Tamandua tetradactyla: one gene and its partner. The protein of the gene in region 2 interacts with the protein of the main gene of each other region in a biochemical or structural test. Links are inferred from orthologs where the notes say so. Each region holds a gene or a part of one and is shown on either strand. Other genes may lie near its edges.

Region 1 (9,195 bases), on a different chromosome or scaffold from region 2:
ATGGGGGAAGGGGAACTGCAGTCTGGTACGGAGGCAGAGGCACAGAAGAGGGGCCGGGGGAGATTAGGAGTGAGAGGCGGGAGGGGCCGGCCTAGAAGGAAACCACGAGCTTTAAAAATAACCCCGGCGCGAGCCCCAGAGCGGCTGCTCCTGGCGAGTCACGCTGACTCAGCACATGGCGCCGCGCCCTCCCAGGCGCTGGCACTCCCGCCAGCCAGCACAGCCCCGGGAGGGCCCAGGGGGCCGCAGCAGGTGAGGGCGGGGCCAGCGACCCCGCGGGTGTGGTCCAGGGGCCCACCCCCAAAGACCATCTCCCACAAGTCTTGGACAGAGCCCCTGCTCGCCATGGCTAAGAGGGTCTGTCCCCGCTAGGGACTTGTGCAGACAGGAGAGCGAGGGAGTCTAACTGAAAAGCCAGGATGTTGGGGGGGGGCCATGTCACTCAACTAGCTCCGTTTTGGGGACCCGCCTGTGACTCCAGCCTGGCCAAGGTCCACCTCCCGCTGATGGGGCAACGATCCTTGTGGCTTTGGGTGCCACTTCAGGTCCCCTGCCCCACCCTATCCAGGGTGTTTCACAAGTGTGCCCACGTTTAGCCAGAAGCCTGCCCAGTGGGGGCAGGGGGTCTCCACACCCTAGGGTCACTGACTGCTCTCTGGCCTCCTGGGGTCACTGCCCACAGGCCCAGGGAATGAAAACAAAAGGGTTAGCCAAAGAGCTGCCCTAAAAGCTGAACCAAAGAAGTACCCTTCCTCGCCACCCCCCCTTTATGCTTTCTGTGCCTACCTACCCCCTGGATTCCAAGGGGATTCCAGGCTCAGCCCAGCTCTGGCCAGGCCCATGGCAAGTACCCCAGATCCCCGTTGTGCCTCCACCTCCCAGGTTAGATCCAGGAAGGTAAATGGCTCAGAAGACACTTGTACACTGGAAGGGTGAGACATACTGCAAGCAAAAGCCACAAGCACCAGAGGCAGAGTTTTTTTTTTGGGGGGGGGGGGGGGGCAGGCTTTCTTGCTCCCACTGAGGAGTGTGGGCAGGGGAGGGAGAAGCACAGGTTTGCACTGGGATGGAGACCCCACCCCCTCCAGCTTGGAAGCTGCAGGAGAGGCTGCAGGAAAAGGAAGAGGGGAGGAGAGGCAGTGTTAGCCACAGCCAGCAGTGGCTCGTGCCTTCTCCAGGTCAAAGGCTGGGGAAGACCGGGAACTAGAGGCCAGAGAACTGTCAGAGCACCTGGCCCCAGTAGGGGTGAGAAAGGCCCTTCCAGCCAAGCCCAAGCTGGGGGCAGAGACACTGCCTTGGGGTCCCCAGGTTGCCTTGGCATCAGCTTTTCCTGTCCCCACCCCCAGACCACTCAGCACTTCTAAGAGATCACTGAAAAGTGCCGAGTGTGGCGACTAGGTGTGGAAAAGTGCCTCCTCAACAGATTTTCCCCTCTGCAGAAGGCCCGGACTCAGCATGCACAGCAATCACCCCTCACCCGAGGCATGTGTGCGTGTGTGAGTGTGCCTGTGCACAGTGGGGGCGGGGCAGTTCTTTGCACAGCCGGGGCTTCCTGCCTGCCACTCAGGGGTACACCTGGGGACACAGAGAGGGACACAGCAGCCTTTGGAGGCAGCCTGAGGGTGGTGGCCTCCGGCACCCATGGACGCTGTGTTCCAACAGGCCACATCTGGGGCTGGACCATAGCTGGGGCCCTGCCACTTCCCCAGAACTGAGCCCCCTTGAGGAGGGATACAGATGGTCCCAAGGGCCCCAACCCACAAGGGTACACTGGCCACCCACTCAGGCAGAGAACCAGGAAAGGGTAGAAGGCTGGGGTGGCCCCACCCCTTCCCCTTGGGAAAAATCCCGGGACACAGGGCTGGGGCCAGACTGGCAGCCCTTGCTCCCACCATCGAGGTCTGAAACCCGCTGGCCAGAGCTTGCAGCAGGGCAGGTGCAGTGGACCCACTCGGGCACCCCAACCTGGCCCCACCCTTCAGACTCGCATTCTCCAGAAGCCGCTCAGCTAAGAAAGCCATTCTCTGAAACAAGTCTCAAATTAATTTTCACTGAGAAGACTCAACTACCCCCTCCAGGAATATGTAATTCCCTAGGGGTATAAAATACCAAAGGATCTGTTAAAGTGTAAGACATCTGGCATCTATAACCCCCAGAGAACAAACAAGGGGATGGCACTCCCGAGGACAAACCACAGTCAGCCCAAGCTGGCCAAGACTGCAGCAGAAAGGGCTCCTGGTGGGCTGCACGCTCCCTCCCCTGCCCCGGAACCACCAGTGCTCTGTGCTCGCAAAGAAAGGCAGCTCAGCCACACCACCCTCGAGTTGTCACTGCCCAGGAGTCTGTGGCCACCTGGCCACAACCCAGCAGGGCTTCACACTCTCTGTGAACTTCACACATTGCCGAACCTCAGCCTCAGGTGGGACCAACTCTGGGATGATGGGGAGCTGTACTCTTCCCATTCCATCTGCTGCACCCCAGAAGGCCAGGCCCCTCACAACTCCAACCACCTGCAGCCTCCTGAAACCCCAAGGCTAGCTGAGTGAGAAGCCTGCTCACACACAGTGTGCCCCTGATTTCTAAGTTCCATTGCTTCCTCTCCCTTGCAATTTCCTGGCAGAGCAGCCCTACAGCCGGCTTCCTCTCCTGTTTTGCTCCGGCTCACCCCAGACCCTCAAAGCTCACCCCAGACCCTCAAAGCCGAGCGAACCTTTCTCTCTCCCACCAGCTCATTCTCCCAGGGGCTGCCCTGCCTGGCCGGGCACAAGAAAAATCTTCCCTCCCAGCAGGGTCAGCAGGCCCCTGAGTTCCTCCCCTCTTCTCGGCTCAGAGAACTCTCCCTGTTCCGGAACTGCCCCAGACCTGGGACTGCCGGTTGTCTGCGCACAGCGTGCCTGGGAGGCTCCCGGACAGCTGACCTGCAGGCGGTCCCCTTTGCTGCCTCCCCAGTCCGCCACCGCGCCTGCCACTCTCACCTTCAGCCCAGACTTACATAGAAGCCCCCCACCCCTCTGCCTGACCCCCTCACCACATCCCCAGGCTTTTCCTTCCACCCCTTAACTTCCCGGCCTTGAAGCCCCCAAAGTCACTCCCGCCAGCCCCCACCACCACTCCTCAGGCACCAGGCTGAGCAGCGAGTGACCTCATGCTGATGACTCAGCAAGTCTCCCTCAGGCCCCGCACGCGTGCGACCGGAGGCGAGGCCAACGCGGGCAGGGGCTTCCCGGCCCGCTCCGCAAGCGCCTCCTCCTCCCGTGGCCCCGCCGGGGACCCCTGCGCGCGGGGGGCCCGGCGCGGACACCTGATGAATCAGCACTCGGAGCGGTAACCCGCCGGGCTCTCCTGGGGATACCTATGCGCCCCGCGACGGCCCGCTCGACCCCGCCCTTCCCTCCGGCCCCGAGGCCGCCCCTCCCTCTTCAAGACCCCAGACACCTCCGAGCCAGCTCCACGCGCGCGCCGCTCGTGGCCGCGCGTCCACCCGGTGCTCCACCCCCCGCGGCACGCGGGGTGGCAGAGGCCAGGGGCCTGGCCCCCGAGCTGTGGGGAAATCGAGGCACTGGCCGCCAGCAGGGCGCGGGGCAGATCCCGGGCGGTCGTACCCCATCGTTCGGCGGGAGCGCCCGGCCCACACCCCCGCGTACCGGGAGGAGCCTGCGGCCCGCGGCCGGCCCCCGCGCCGCCCCCCGCGCCGCCCGCCGCACTCACCACACTGCGGGCCCGGGCGGGCCGAGGCCAAGGCCGGGGCCGGGGCCGGGCGAGGCCGCGCGGGGTCCGGGGCCGCGCGGGGCGGGGCTTGGGCGCGGGGGGCCGGGCACGGGGTCTGGGTGGGGTCGCCGCTTGCGCGGGCCGGGCCGAGCGCGCTGAGAAGGCCGGGCCGGACCGGACCAGGTTCAGGATCCGCCGCCGCCGCCGCCGCCGCCGCCGCCGCTCCACAGACGTCACATGATGTTTGGTCACGTGGGCTCCATTCATGAAGCGGCGACGCGACCGGCTGGCGCTTAAAGGGGAAGGCGCGCCGGTGGCGCCCGGGGGCGGGGCGGGCGCGCCGCACGGCGCCTGCGCGCCCCAGGGCCGTCGCCCTGGCAACGCCCGCCGCGCCCGCCTGTCCCCGGGTGGGGTCTCGCGGGTCCGGCCACGCCCTCCTGGCGGCAGCGGGAGCGCGCTCCGAACTCAAGGCGGGTTTCCCCGGTCTTTAGGACGTGGGGGCGGCCGTTCCTCGCTCCGCCGCATCTCCAGAGCCTTTCTGAGCTCACGGCTTCCAAGACCACTTCCCCAGGCGCAGGTGGGACCCAGGTCCCGGAGCATTCATGGAGGGAGCGGGAACACCACCTGCTCACCCTTGGGCACCTCCTGCGGGGCAACCCCAAGAACCCGCCCCGCACGGCCCACCCCTGCGCGCTCCCGTTCGTGAGCAGGGGCTGTCGGTCCTGACCCAGCTCCCAGGGCCGCTGAATTCGCAGTCGACTTACCTGTTTCCTCAACATCTGCCCAGAAATGCGTTCCTGAGTGCGCTTGGCCCTGCGCTTGCTGTCCGGAGTTCCCCGGGAAAGGCGGCTGGCGGGAAGAAGGGGCCGTCCCTCGGGTGTCCACTTCCACCTGCCCGACTTTCTACTCAGCCTTCTTCCTTCCCGCTTGTGAAGCCAGGAAGAAAAACCCACCGAGCCAGAGTTCAGGGCCACGCCGGAGCGAAGGGAGTCCTTGAAGTGGGTACTTGAGGCCACCCAAGAGGCCCCAGAGCCTTGCCAGTCTGCCAGCTCCGGCAGCTTGTTTTTCCTTCCACCTTGTGCGGTTGTGTGCGGCTGTCACCGTTACCTGCTCCTTTGGAGCATGAGTGCGGACTCAGTCTCCCCTCATGCCTGGGCCTGCGGGAGCAGCAAGAGCTCTTGGCCGAGATTCTGAAGGCCCCGATTTTAATGTAAGAAACAGCAACGATTTGCTGTGCAGGCCCAGAATCCTGGCCCGTTCCCCCTTCTCTTTTTCTTTCTCACCCCTAAGGTGAGGCTGTTTTCTCGGCCTTGCTCAGCAGGATGTGGGCCCCTGAGGGCTGGACTGGCCTGGCAGGTGGCACCAAGTGACATCAGGAGCCGGCCATCAACTTGCTCCTCCCTGTCCATAGGGCCACCAGCCCCAGCAACCTCAGAACATGTGGGTGACTGACCCTGGGGCGTGGACAGCCCCTTCCATCCCCAGGCCTGGGTCTTTGGCACTTTTCAGGGGTGACTGAGAAGCTAATTATGCATTATTTTGATTTGGGAAGGAGCCTGCCCCCAATTTCTCTTCTCCAGCTGCTCTGCAGCTCCATCCACGGTCCAGGGGATGGGGTGCTGTGCTGCCTACCCTCCCTTCCCTTGGGGCCTGTGGAGAGGGCACGTTCTAGAAGGTAACCCCGGCTCCCCGCTGCCCCCCCCCCCAAACCCAGGCCAGTTTCCCAGGTCAGAAACTAACAGATGATCACAGACTTGGTGCCTTGAACCAACATACATTTATTCTCTCACCGTTCTTCAAGTATGAAGTCACGTGAGGTCCGGGCCATGCACCCTCTGAGAACTCCAGGGGAGAATCCTGCCTGGCCTCTTACAGCCTCTGGTGGCTGCCAGGGTCCATGGCTGGTAGCTGCATCACTCGCCTCTGCCTCCATCTTCCCAGGGCCATCTCCCCTCTGTGTGTCTGTCCAGACCTCCCTCTTACAAGGATACCAGTTACATCAGGTTAGGTCCCCCTAGTCAAATAGGCTTTACCTTAACATTCCATCTGCAGTGAGCCTATTTCCAGAAAAGATAATGTTCACAGGCAGCAGGGATTAGGACGTAAACCTGTCTTTCTGGGGGACACAATTCGACCCATGACCCTTGCCCCCACCCCAGAACCTGCTCCACAATGTCACAGCACGTCTAGAGCGGAGGGGGGAGGGGGCTGCTGAGGGAGAGAAAGGTACTGCCCTTGAAAGGGCTGAATTGCCCGGCCCTAGGACCTATCTCAGTCTAGCTGGCAAGCCCCAGAAGCTCAGGGGTTGGCAAGAGCCAAGCTGGTTGGGTGTGCAGGTCTCAACACCTGCCCTTGAGCCTCCTGGCCGGCTCTCCACATGGGCCCAGGGCACTTGTCCTGGGAGTAGCAGCTCAGCCTTGCTTGAGCCAAAGTTGGCAAGGCCTTTGGGGCATCTGAAGGGCTCCTCCTCCTTCTGAGGGAAGGCCTGCTGTCTTGGGTGTGTCCATCTGTCTGTCAGCTGTCCACCAGCAGAGGCTCCAGCCTGGCTCCCTGCACAAGCCCGCCTCTGGACATTGCCTGGCCACTGGGCGCCACCTTCCTGCTGAAACTGCCTTGGACATCTTTCCAGGAGCCGCTGTCCTACAACTCCTCTTCAGGTCGGGCGCACCCTCCAGGGGACAGAATTTGGCACCCTGCTTGCTCCTCCCACTGGGCAGCAGGCCCCAAACTGACCTCCAGGAAGGCTGAGGGTACCTAGTCCAAACCTAGATCCAGGCCCAGGCCTGCTCCTTCTGGCCTCTCTCCTCCAAGGAGGGGGTCCAGAGCGATGGCCCATTCTGGGGTTCCCAGGGTGACTCGTCCTCTCTGTCTGGCCCATTCATTCTAGATCCCGGATCCGACTCGTATGGGGCCTTGGGCCGGGGCTCGGCCTCACTAGGGAAGGTTCTGGCAGAGCGAGACCAGATCAGAGCCAGAATTTAGGACCAGGTTCCCGGCAGGAAACTGAGGCAGAAGCCAGGTCAAAGGGAACCCTCTGGGCCAAGGGCAGTAAGACTTTCTCCAGGCTCTGAGCTGCAGGGTGGAGGGGCCCTAGGACATGGGAAGTGCAGAGCTGGCAGTGGAGGGGGCCGGGAGGGGGCTATTGGGCTGAACTTCACCCAGCTGGATGCTTCCCACCTGCGTGTGAGGATCCGGATACCCAGACTGCAGCTCCCTCCGTGGCCTGCTCTGGATCCTTAGGGCCGAGCTCACACTTGCAGCGGCCTCCCTGGGTGCCAGGTCTCCTGGAAGGAGATTCCGGGCCCTCTGCCTCCTGCCTCAGTCCACTTCCAGGCCCTCTTCCACCCAGCTCAGACCCTCGTCGGGCCCCCACCAGCTCTACTCCGACTCCTCACCTCTAGCCGTTTGCTTAATCGAGAAACACCTCAGGAAGGCTGGGCACCCCGCCTGCTGGTACCTCCTTCGAGGAGGGGCACAAACACCTCCCCAAACAGCAAAATCTGTCTGGATCCCGGCCTCCTACCCGAGGCCCCATGATGTGCTTCTACCGCTTCGGACCCCTGAGTCTTGTCTTCTGGTTTCCCTCCCACCTCCAGGCAATAAGATTTGAGGAGCCTGGTTAGCAAATGGCCATGATCCTGGGTCCTGGGGCCAGGTGTGTGGCCTGTGGGAAGGTGTCTTCTGGGGGCATCTTGTCCCCAGGCGGTGGGTGCCCAGCACCCTGTGCTGTGGGGGCGGGGATGACTTTGGCTGCTTGCTGCCTGGCACTGGGAAACTCAGGGTCCACACCCCTGTCCCTATGCCCACTTCTACCCATGCAGGCTAGGGGCCGGGCTGGGGGCTCCCACCGGGAGGGGGCCTCCAAGCAGAGTCACAGTCACCCCGTAGGCACTTCAGCCCAGCACCAGCTGCCTGCCGCCCATCTTATCTCTCGCCACCAGGTCACAACTCTGGAGGGCAGGGCCCCCCTCACCCCACCTCTGGGGAGCAGCCAGAGCTCTCCCGAGCCATCCTGGCAGGGACAGAGGAACACAGCTGTGCCCTTATTTACTCTGGGGCACCTTTCCTCCACCTCCTGAAGGGCAGGTCCCCTTTGCCCACCCAGGGGCCCTGGGGCCTGGTTCTGAAGCAGCCCCAGGGGAAGGGTGGACACCTCCTCCAATGTAGGGCAGTTCTTACCCCCACAGGATGGGCTCTCCCTCCTCCCACTGCGCCCCCCCCCCAGATGCCCGACCTAGGACCCCTGGGGGGCGACTGTCTCAATCAGGGGAGAAGGCCCCGACCTGCCATCTCCATACTCAGTATAGCGTGTCTGACTGAACATTCCCGGCTCTGGTAAGGGGCCTGCAGACGCCACCCTGGCAACATCTCCCTCTGGGATGCCTTCCTCACCAGGAACAGGTTCAACTGGCGAGAGCAGTGGGGAGCGGGGGGATTGCCAAGCAAGCCCAGCCCCGGACACCGGCATTCAGGCATGCTCCCGACCTCCAGGCCCCTCTGCTCGCAGGAGACCCTCTGCCGTGCCCACCATCCTCTGACATTAAACCCACCAGCAGCGACCCTGCAGCTGAGGGTTCCCCTCGGGCTTGGCCCAAACGGTGAAGTCGAGGACAGGAGGCCGGGACATCGTTTATTTAACCTGTAACATCGTGGGAGGTGGGGAGGAAGGGGCACGGGGGACCCTGGGAACACGAGGGTCCTTTCCCCGAATGTCAGAGGGAAGCCATGGGCACAGCTTGTCGAGACTTGTGTCTCTTGCCCTGGGCTCAGACATTGAGAACTGCCCCACCCCCTCCAAACAGAGAGGGAGAGGGGTTGCCCCAGGGTGCAGCAGGAGGGTGCCAGAGGAGTGAGACTGGGTGGGACTTCATGGAGGGGAAACTTGACCCTTGTACTAACAAGGGGTAGAGCCCCAGCTGGCTGGCACCGTGGGGAGTGCGAGAAGACCCTTCCCCAGCCCGGGTCTCCTGGTTTGGTTTCTGGGTGTAGGGAGGCTGAAGTCAGAAAATCTACCCCTGTTCTGGGTTGGAAAGCACCTGGGGGTCATGGAGGTTTCCAGAGAGAAGGAAGTGACACGTTCCTTCCCTGACTTCAGCCCTGGCTCTGACCTGCCTTTCAGCAGCCTGAGCCGATCAGGACCATAGGCAGCGGCCACTACAAGGACACTGTGGTGTGACCTGGGCTGAGAGAGCCCAGGTGGAGGACAGACAGATGGGTGGCGTCAGTCCTTCTTGCCCAAGGGGCCTAGGCTGCGAGGGAGCAGCTTGGCGTGGCCAGAAGGGGACAGTGAGGTCCCCTCAGAGGAGCCCAGCTTCACTTTGTCCAACACAGTCTTCTTGATGGCAGCTGGAGAGACCTTTTCCTGGTCAGCCATGGACTGCAACTCCCTGTGGGACACACAAGGAGGTTAGGTGCCAGGGTTCCCCCTCCACCAGGGAAGGGGAAGCCAAGCCTACAGCTCCCAGCCTGCCCATCCTGGCAGTGTTG
Region 2 (10,270 bases):
CTTCCATATTTTCCTATATTTTCTCTTTGTCTGGAATGCTCTTCCCCCAAATATCCACATGGCTCATTCTCTAACTTTTTTTAGGTGTCTTATCAAATGTACCCTTCTTAGTAAGGTCTTCTGGGACCATCTTATTGAACCTCTTGCCTCTCCTTCACATCTCACTGTGAAAGGTACCACTCCATATTGTGCAACATAATGGGATCACTCCCGGTTTTCCTTTTTAGTTTTAATTTTTTTCCATAAACCTTATCACCACCTAACTCTTATATAGGTTACTTATTTCTTCGGTTTATTCTCTGCTTCCGCTGCCTAACTACAATGCAAATGCTACAAGGGCAGAGGTACCTGATTGTTTTGTTCACTGCTATAACCCCAGTGCCCAAAGCCAATGCCTGGCACATGGCTGGCATTTGATAAACATTTATTGAAAACATATACAAAGATATTTATGATAGAGTCTTAAAGTTTTTAAATGAAAAAAATAATCAGTTACCCCAACTATTTTGATCAATAGGATTGTCTAGACCACTTAGGTTTTTTTTTTAATTTTTTTGTTAGAGAATTTGTAGGTTTACAGGAAAATAATGCATAAAACACAAAGTTCCCACATACCACCCTATTATTAATACCATGCATTAGTATTGCGACAAATTGTAGCATTTGCTACAATTCATGCAATAACATTTTTATAACTCTTCAATTAACTATAGCCTATTGTTTACAATAGGGTTCACCATGCCATGTTGTCCTATGTGGTTTTTTTTTTCATTTTTATTCTAGTAATATATATAAAACCTAAAATTTCCCCTTTTAACCACGTTCAAATACAGAATTCAATGACGTTAATGATATTCACAATGTCGTGCTGCCATCACCACCATCCATTACCAAAATTTCCATCAACCAAGTTCTGGGGTACCTGATCAAGTTAGCTGGAATACTATGAATGCAGCATCTCAGGTAAAGATTCAGGTGGATATAAGGAAGAAGTGGGCTGAAGTAAACATCACTCAGGAAGAAGGGAGAGGAAACTGAGGTAGGAGAAAATGTGACAAAGGGAAGATTTTCTTTCACATATAACTCCCTCAACTTACCACTATTCATAGACCCTTTGTTAAAAGAGTTCTCTAAGGGATGTGAGGGTAGCTCAGTGGTAGAATTCTCGCCTGCCATGCGGGAGGCCCCATTCGATTCCTGGCCCATGCACTCCCCAAACAAATAAGCAAACAAACAAAAAACCAAACAAAAGCAAAAATTCAACAAATGGTGGTGCAATGAACGGATACTCATATGGAAAAAGAATGAAATGTGACCCCTGCCTTACAGCACACAAATTAAAAAAAGAGTTTCCTATCATCTCTTACTCCTTTACCTCCAAGTAAGCTCCTTTCTAAATAGGTGTAGGAAGGTATCTAAAAATTTCTAAAAACTAGTATCTACCTCATCTGATACCTTATCTGTTAACTGGTTAACTGCCTACAATAAAAAATATCTTATTAAAAACTACCTGGATTTTAAGATTTTTACCTAGATACTCCCCTCTCTGCTCCTTATCACCATCTTTCTGTCCAAACCCCAATATTCAAGCCTAAGCATCCCTGATTGGGCTCATAGTTGGTCAACTGTTTCCCTTCCCATTTTATATGTAGTATCTAATCTGAGTTGTCCCAAAACCTTGGTGGAAAGATCGTCAAGTTGGAGTCTTCTGCTGTGAAATTATTTAGACTGTGCCTCTCCATACTCTTTTCTCAAAGAGGTTGCAGGTTGAGTTACAGATTACAACAAAGAGAGCTCAATTCCAACCTCATCAACTGAAGCCTTGGGGGTGGATCTATGTTTCCTTAAACTATAAGCGTCCAGTTTGAGACTCTGAAGTTCACAGATAATGGACCTTCATGTTTTGTGTCCAGGGCTTAGCATCTCTGCAATTTTAAAGGGACAAGGTGATAAATCAAGTCAGCTCAATCAGGTATAAAAGAAGTAATTTCTCACACGCCAGTCCCTCAATTCCAGATGACTTTCTCTGCCATTTTTCAATTTATATTTGAGACCTGGATTGTTGAGCTTTGTCACTTGGGACTTCATCAGAAAATCATTTACCTTCCTCTTGTTTTTGTTTTTGTTTTTGTTTTTTTATTAGAGAAGTTTTGCTTTACAGAAAAATCATGCAGAAAATACAGGGTTCCTCTATAACCCACTCACGCACATAGCTTTCCTTATTATAAACATTTTGCATTAGTGTGGTACCTTTGTTACAATTGATGAAACATTATTATACTTATAACTATAGACCACAGTTTACATTAATTCACTCTTTGTGTTGTATAGTCCTATGGTTTTTAAAAATTGTTATTCTAGTAACATTTATACAACGTAAAATTTCTCCTTTTTAACCACATTCAAATACATAATTCAGCGATGTTATTGTGCTACCATCACCAGCATCTATTACCAAAACTTTTCCATTGTTTATTTTACTTCTCTCTTACGCCCTCTGACTCTACTCTGAAACTATGAAAAAAAAACTCTTGGGTTGGTTTGGACCTTTTCTTGGAGGGATCCTAAAGACAAAGTTGTCTGAGATGGGAAATATAAATTCCTGTAGGGATAATATAAGGCAATGAGAGGTGCCGAACTACGGGGGTCAGGCACCAAGGAACCAAGGGTTGGGGAAAGCAAACTTGATCAAAACCCTGCCCCATTGTGAAATCTCTGCACTTAGTAAACTTCTCTTTTCTCGTTTTGCAACGGCTTGTCCCTACTGGAAAACCGCAGACACTGCTCCCTGTACCCTCCCTCCCTTGTCCTGGTCCTTTACAAACCCTTTACCCCTCCTATTTTTCTCCTTTCAGGCGTCTAAAGCTCTAACGTCTCATTTCACATCTGACCAAAGGAAACTGTTAATAGAGAAATTCACTGGCTTCTTTTCCTTCCCTGGGTCCTGCAAAGCCTGGGACTCCAACTTAGAGAGATCTTTACCGTGGCGGCCTTGGTTCTTCTAGTTAAAACGCGAGGCATCTAGTGTAGTGGCTCCACTTTGTGGTTGTACAGACTTCCTTTGAGGATGCTTAAATAGCTGACCAAGCCTGGAGGGTGTCAGGCATAGCTGCTCCAGCAACCCGAAGTAACATGGACCTAGGGTGGGCTCTTGGTATAGTGATTAGGATAGGATTCTGTCACCGGCTGCCAGTGCTAAGGGCCAAAAGGTCATAGCGCCCCCTACAGGCAGTGCTGATTAAAGTTACTTAGGCGAGTCGACGGTATCACGTACGCTCTACTCTACCAATCGAAAATTAATAATCGCTTCCTCTGTTCCCCATGGAAACAACCCCGCCCCTGTCACTCTATGCCTCATTCCCTGGAGCGAATTTGGCTTTTTATTGAGTATTCAAGCTGACAATCAAATATCTGAGTTTTCTGGTTGGATATCTTACTTCCGTTGAGAAAGCTAGTACATTGATTGGTCAGTAAGGCAATTCTGGCGTCTGGTGTCCAATGACCCTTATCCTAGGGGGCTGCTTAATGGAGACGTAGAGCCAATCAGCGGCTGCGTTCTTTTTGCGGCTCCACGTCGGCACCAGCTGCGGGGCAAGATGGAGGCGCTGATTTTGGTAGGAGTCGGAGGGGCAGGCGAGATGCTGAGATGTCCATAGGGGCCGGAGTCGGGTTCAGCTCGACTGGAGGGAGGAGAGGGGGCAATTCTGGGTAATCCTCGGGGACCGGAGGTTCTGCTGGCCCTCGGAATAAGCGTGTGGCCTAGCACAGGAGCTAAAGCCTCGGACCGGAGTAGGAAGCCCTGCCGGGGAGAAAGAGGGTCATAGAGTCGGTGAAAAGTTGAAGGGAGCACATGGAGTCCGAGGATACATAGAATTATAAGCGTGCAGGGTTGGGGGCTTCTTTAGATTTTCCCTAATTCTTTACATTGTGGGTGATCTCCTGATCTGAGTTTCCTTAAATATCTAAATTCGCCCCAAATTGTAGGATTAGAGTTTTCTCATCACAAGTTGTGAGTTTGATGGCTATGAGTTTGACATTCCTTGCCGTATTCCTTCAAAAACCGTTTTTCTCCCTACTTCGGTTTCCCGTTAATTCCTGTTATGTCTGTCTGTCTTGATGAAGAGTAAGTTTATTCCACTGAAGTTCTGGAATAGCTCATAGAGTTAGTTTGGATTGTAGAATATTTTTTCCAGATTCTTTATTCTGTTCTCCTTTTTCCCTCCTCATTTAGACTTTTGGAATTCTTACTGTAGGATCTGCGATGCTGACTCTCTCCCTGGATACATGAGAATTGTAGTGGTTAAAGGGGCATGTTAGCCCGTTTTTAATTCATAACATCCATTTTAGTTGTTCAAACCAGTAAAATACCTATTACTCCTTTTGACTGGACCTAAGCATTTCTCTCAAAAATATCCTGTCTTCAATTTGGAAATATATATATATGAATATGAATTTATGATATGATATGAATTTAGTTCCTGGCCTCCTTCCTTGAGTTGAACTCTAGAAAGCTTTCCGGGAGACTTTTCTTTTCCTCCGACTTTATGCACATCCGTATCCAGATCCTCATCATCACGTAGAAGAGACTAACAGGTTTCAGTTTTCCCCTCCTTCAAAACTGGCAAAGGTGGAGATAATTCCTAGATTGTTCAAATCTAGGTAGAAAGCTTAAAATCCAGGTACTTTTAAATATATTTTTAGTAGCAGGCAGTTAACCAGTATCCTTAACCAATTAACAGATAGGATAGATAGATGCTAGGGAATTGGTTTCTTTGGAAGTTTTTAGAAATTTGTAGATACCTTCCTTACATGTTTAGAGGGACCCTGCTTGGCAGTAAAGGAGCAAGAGAAATGATAGTTAGGGTGCCCTTTTAGCAAAGGGTTTATGAATAGTGGTGAATTGAGGGAGTTATATGTGAAAGTCTTCCCTTTGTCACATTTTCTCACACCTCAGTTTCCTCTCCCTTCTTCCTAAGGGACATTTGTTCCAACTCACTTCTTCCTTATATCCACTTGAATCTGTACCTAAGATGCTGCATTCATGGTGTTAGAGCTAACTTGATCAGGTACCCCAGAACTTTGCTTTAAAAATCATACTGAAGTAATCAATGCCTAATGAGTAGGGAGTTTTTGTGTAGGTTGATGGACATTTTGGTAATGGATGGTGGTGATCGCAGCATGACATGGTGAATGTGACTATTACCACTGAAGTGTGTACTTGAAAGTGCTTAAAATGGGAAATTTTATGTTGTATATATGTTACCATAGTAATAATATAATCCTCATGCTTTTTTTTTTATCCTGAGGGACCAATGTAATTATGTTAAATGGGAAATCAAAGTACGAGAAAACTTTGGTTCAACAGGATAAAGATCTAAGGTGAGATACAGTGAGTCCACATTCTTTTCACAGTGAAGATGATGACCTAAGAATTGTGCTTAAGGAAGCACAATATCAAAACTAGGATTAGATTGGATTTATTCAACCTCTAAGATCACATCCCTCTATGATGTTACCAAGATTCTCTCACCATGGGCTTTCTCCGTCCTCTGTATGCAAAATTGTCCTTTCAAACATCACCAACAGATATTAATCCCTGTACTGGTCTCCAGAGATTTTAAGATATTAAATTAGTATTATCTTTCCTTTGGGTTAACTCTTTTCAACATTTTTTGCTCTTTACATACAGTTATTTGGGGCTCTCAATTAAGAATTTAAACACTTTTCTTCACTTTTCCAGCTTTCTCAACTGGAGTTCCATGAGCCTTAATGCCCTAAGGCATCCATTGTAATGAATCAGTCTCTATCCACTGCATCCAGAATGCCATTCATTATGAACCCTCCATTGGGGGAAGTGAGAAAATGGTCACTTAAATAATTTTCTGTGTTATGTAGTTCTGATGAGGAACTTTTGTTGAGAATCAGGTAATATTTCCTAAATCTCTATTCTCTCCTCATTATTGTTACACACTGGTCTACCAAAATTAGCTCCATTTGATTGAGAATCAAACTTCCTTACAGTACCTTTTTTAAATCTCATCCTCTCTTCTGTCTATTCTCAGCCATATCTCCTGATTCTTAGGTCATCATCTTCATTGTGAAAACAATGTAGACTCTCTGTATCTCACCTTAGATCTTTATCCTGTTGAACCAAAGTTTACTGTACCAGCTGAGTGTTTAACAGGCCACTCCCTAGAGAGGGCAAACTCCTTTCAGAGTAACTTTCCTTTTCCTCCTTTCACATTTCTGTTTCCTGGTTTGGCTGGACCTCTGGGGAAATCTGATCAGAAAATATTCTTCTGTCCTCACTCACCTTGACATAGCACACAGTTGTAGAAGAAGTAAAGAGTTGAGAAGAAGGAAAGCGTAAACTAGAGGTGATCAAGTGGAACTATTGATCAAAGTTGGCTCTGATTATGAGAATTTCTTAATCCCAATAGGTTCCCTTCACTTAGGTATGTTAGAATGGGTCACATTTCTTTCCTGAATTAAGTAATCCAGCTCTAGCTTTCAAACAGATTTGTTTCCTCTTTCTCAGGTCTACTTGTAATTCCTAAGGAAAGTGACCCTTTCATCTCTCTGTTTCCAGTGTTTAATAATAATGTCCCAACCTCCATCTTTGAACTCTACTTCCTCTTTCCTGCTATTTCTGCTTGTTTTCCTTTTTTCAGTTGTGAATGGATAAGGATCTCAGCAGGTCACCATTCTCCATTAATACCCTATAGAATCTTAAAGATAATGACTTGTCCCCTTCAACCCTTTTTTTTTTCTCAAGGCTGAATTACTCTAGCAGTCTAGATCTTTAAATCTTTCCTCTTAAGTTTCATTTTTCCATATACTCTCTGGATTCACTTTCACTTGAACAGTACTTTACAGATTAGGCTTCTAATTCTATCCGTTCTCTTCCCTTAATAACGTTTTTATCTTAAAACAGTGACCAAATCCTGAATTCTAAACCCTATACAAAAGTCAAGCCATCCAGAGTGCAGGAGGGTATGTGTATATGTGCAGAATACATCAATGACTCTTAGAGGTTGATGTTGCTCCATGGCCTTGGCTTCCTGAATCATCTTAATGGGGCTTTTGTTAAATTCCTTTGGCACTAACAGTGGAGGTACTTGGCCTAAATGCCTCCTCCCCCTGCTCTGGGCAAAGGTATCAATTACATTAAGCCCCCAAAGCACTCCCATCTCGTCCCTGGCAGTCCCCTGTGCCCCTCTCCCAGCTGCGTCCTTGCCAGTGCCTGGCCCCTCCATTTCGTTAGGAGAAGCAATCTCCTCCTTCCTGCACTGTGGAGATATATTTCTCAGCTAGGGCGCAAGCAGTGCCAGCACTGCCCCCGGTGAGGTCCCTGGCAGCCATAAAATTTTTTATTGTGATTATGTTGGTGTCGGGGTGTCCATCTGGGTTATTGCACACCTAGTTTAATTGATTGAAGTTTAATTTATTGACACTTCACATTAAATGATCAGAATAAACTGTGCTGTTACTCTGGCCGGCTTGTTTTAATGGTTGATTGCTGGAAGCAGACCTCGGCTTGAACTAAAACCCCCAAAGAGCAATTGACGCTGCTTCTAACTCTCCCCATGTCTTGCCCTCCAAGAAGACCTCGTTATAGATTTCCGACGTATTTATATATATTTTTTCCTTCTCTTTTACAGTAGTGGGAAGGAGTTGGTCCCCGGCAAGGTATAAATTATAGCAAAGGTCTAGGGGAGCTGTCATATGGTCAAAAGAGGAGGAGGGGGCCTCCCTGTGAAGAAAGTCAGACCCTTGAGAAGCCAAATCTTTCCTGGGAGGCAGATTTAGGGTCTTTTTCATCTAGATACTTGACTACTGTTTTTTACTTTATGCTGCCGGCATAACCTGGTTAGAGTCAGGATACTGACAGGAAAACTAGTTGTGAAGAGGGGAACTAGAAGAGACAAGTAGAGGGTGGAATGGGAATAAAGAATCACTGAATCACTGCCTACTTAACCACTTCTGCCAGAGTAATTAGGAAGAGGGAGTCCGAATTTTTTATTATAAGGTGCCTGCCCTGGCAAGGGCCCTCACACAGTGTTCTGCCCTACCTCCCCTGATTCTGGGCAGAATAACCCTTCTAATGAGATTGATTGGAGGGAGCACTCCTGTCTGTAGTTTCCCTATCCTAGATAGCTCTGTCTACCTGTTTTCTTCTACTCCTTTTCTACTACTGTGTGGCTTTTAGAGGGATCCTGGAATAAGAGAGAGGATAATAATTCTCCCTCAGAGGCTGATTTGGGGGAGCAAATAGATAAAGATGAACACAGAGGTTATCGGTTCATTCTTTCAGAGACTGGCCTTTCCTTTACAGTAGCTGGGGATGGGGAGGGCCATAAATCATGACACAAATCATGAGCTAGGACCTTACCCCATTTGTTTTTTCCCTTTTCTGAGTGACACTTAAATGAGGGCTCCTAGATTATCAGACTGGAAAGGTAGGAAGTTCTAATGCTGCTCTGGACCTAAGGGTGTCGAGTACAATATGATTTCTACTTATTTATCTCCTTTCCCAGCAGTCTTGCATTGTCCTGCATTTCTGTGATTCTTTGCACTTTCGTGGTGGTTGAAGAATTAGAGATTGTTATCTCTGAGCAAAAAATTTCTCCAACAGATAGGTTTTCTGAATTTTCAGGAAGGAACTGAGACTTTGCATTCCTGAAGAACTTGGGGGCCTCATTATCTGTGTCTTGCCCATCTCACAACCACCAGATTCAGCCCTGAAAACCTGGATGAATATGGTGCTGACCTTTGCTCCCCCTGCTGGCTGTGTGTGTTTTCTCAATCATATTAATTTATGAAGGCCACCTGCGTGTTTATTGAAGTCATTGCTGGATACCAGGGAAAGCGGAGGGGATGATTTTACGAAAGTATCACTCATCCCCCCCCTTTCTTTCCTCCCCCCACCATTGTTGTCTTCAGAGAGAATCTCTTATTTAATTCCAAACTTAGGTGTATGAATACCCTGAACTCATAAAAATGTGTGAATGTGTATTTTTCTGGGAACAGGGTACGTAGTTCATCAGCTTATCAAAGGGGTCTTCTGTAACTCAAAAAAGGCATTAACCTCAACTGATACAGGTCAGGCCTCTCATTTCTCTCATGAGGAAGCTGAGTCCTAGAGAAAGGTAGTTATTGAGTTAATGGCTGAGCCAAAGTATAATATAAATGTTTCAGGAGTTCAGAGACATTTTCTGTTGCATTTTATGAACTTTTTTTGGGGGGGGCGAGGGGGTGCATGATCCAGGATTCGAACCTGTGCCTCCCAAGTGGAAGATGGGCATCTCCCGCCGAACCACCTGTGTATCCCATCCTGTTGCATTATATGTGATGTCGGAATTCTTGATGGCTGTGCTTTACGTACTATGTGTTATATCTATGTCAGGTAGGAAGAGTCTTTGTAGATGTCTCTTCTTGCCATCATTTCTTTCTAAGACAGGTATTCAGTTCCCTCCTTATAACCAGTAGTCAGTCTTGTGTCACGTGGGTAGGTTTCTGTGATACTTGTGGCTCCTGTTCGTTTCTCAGCTATGCTTCTTGAATCTAAGCAAATCATTAGGTGGTATGTGAAAACTGCTCTTCCCTGTCAAAGACTTTTAGCTAATTCTTCTTTTCTTTTCATCTGAGGTCTTGAATGTTGTGGCTGACAAGTTAGATCCTCAGTCCCTGAGGAGCATTTCATTTGAAAGAAGTTGGCACACAGAAAGGGGGCACATACCTGCTTAGCCTTGTAGAACTGGGGGTGGTGGCTAGGAATTTCTCCTTCTAGGATCTCTGACCTGTTTTGGTTTTACTTTATAAATAAGGTTGAGGAAAGAGCATACTGCTATATCATTTCTAATTGATCAAAAGCTATTGACATTTCCCTAAGGATTTCTTTGTATGTAGGAAATGAAAAACTTTCCAGGAATCTCAATCACATCCTTTCTTGTCCTCTTTCTGCTCTGTGGATAGCATCTTCTAACTCCTTAAAGTCATCTTGATTTTTTTTTCACCTAAATGAATCAAATAAGTAATTAATCATAGCCCCCATACATCCTCTCCACCTGCTTCAAACACTATTCCCCTAGTTCTTTCCTGAGCTTTCCCCAAAGTGTGTATGTACGTATATACACCATACATAAACACACAAAAAACATACTTAATTTAGGGCTTTTTCCTCCTCCCCTACCTTGGCTTACAAGAAGCACAAATAGAGAGACATTATCCAGAGCTGCCTTTTTGATATTTTGGCTAATGACTACAAGCC

Evidence for each region. The genes of interacting proteins can lie anywhere in the genome.
Region 1: the proteins of NFE2 (region 2) and MAFG form a complex in vitro, tested with the Homo sapiens proteins (2 studies listed by BioGRID and IntAct, with this or other methods). The link is inferred for Tamandua tetradactyla from reciprocal best matches to the Homo sapiens genes NFE2 and MAFG.

The regions. Positions count from the first base shown.
Region 1 is NC_135332.1:74,104,606-74,113,800, forward strand, and holds the start of MAFG (transcription factor MafG), read right to left. Parts: upstream 4,583-9,195; 5' UTR 4,473-4,582; intron 3,755-4,472; exon of another isoform or gene 3,709-3,754; intron 22-3,708; exon of another isoform or gene 1-21. Other genes in the region: PYCR1 (pyrroline-5-carboxylate reductase 1, mitochondrial), read right to left, coding at 8,930-9,095. UniProt on the Homo sapiens protein: Since they lack a putative transactivation domain, the small Mafs behave as transcriptional repressors when they dimerize among themselves.
Region 2 is NC_135333.1:115,698,131-115,708,400, forward strand, and holds the start of NFE2 (transcription factor NF-E2 45 kDa subunit), read right to left. Parts: upstream 4,243-10,270; 5' UTR 3,615-4,242; coding exon of another isoform or gene 3,597-3,614; 5' UTR 2,983-3,596; intron 1-2,982. Other genes in the region: COPZ1 (coatomer subunit zeta-1), read left to right, coding at 3,597-3,614. UniProt on the Homo sapiens protein: Component of the NF-E2 complex essential for regulating erythroid and megakaryocytic maturation and differentiation. Binds to the hypersensitive site 2 (HS2) of the beta-globin control region (LCR).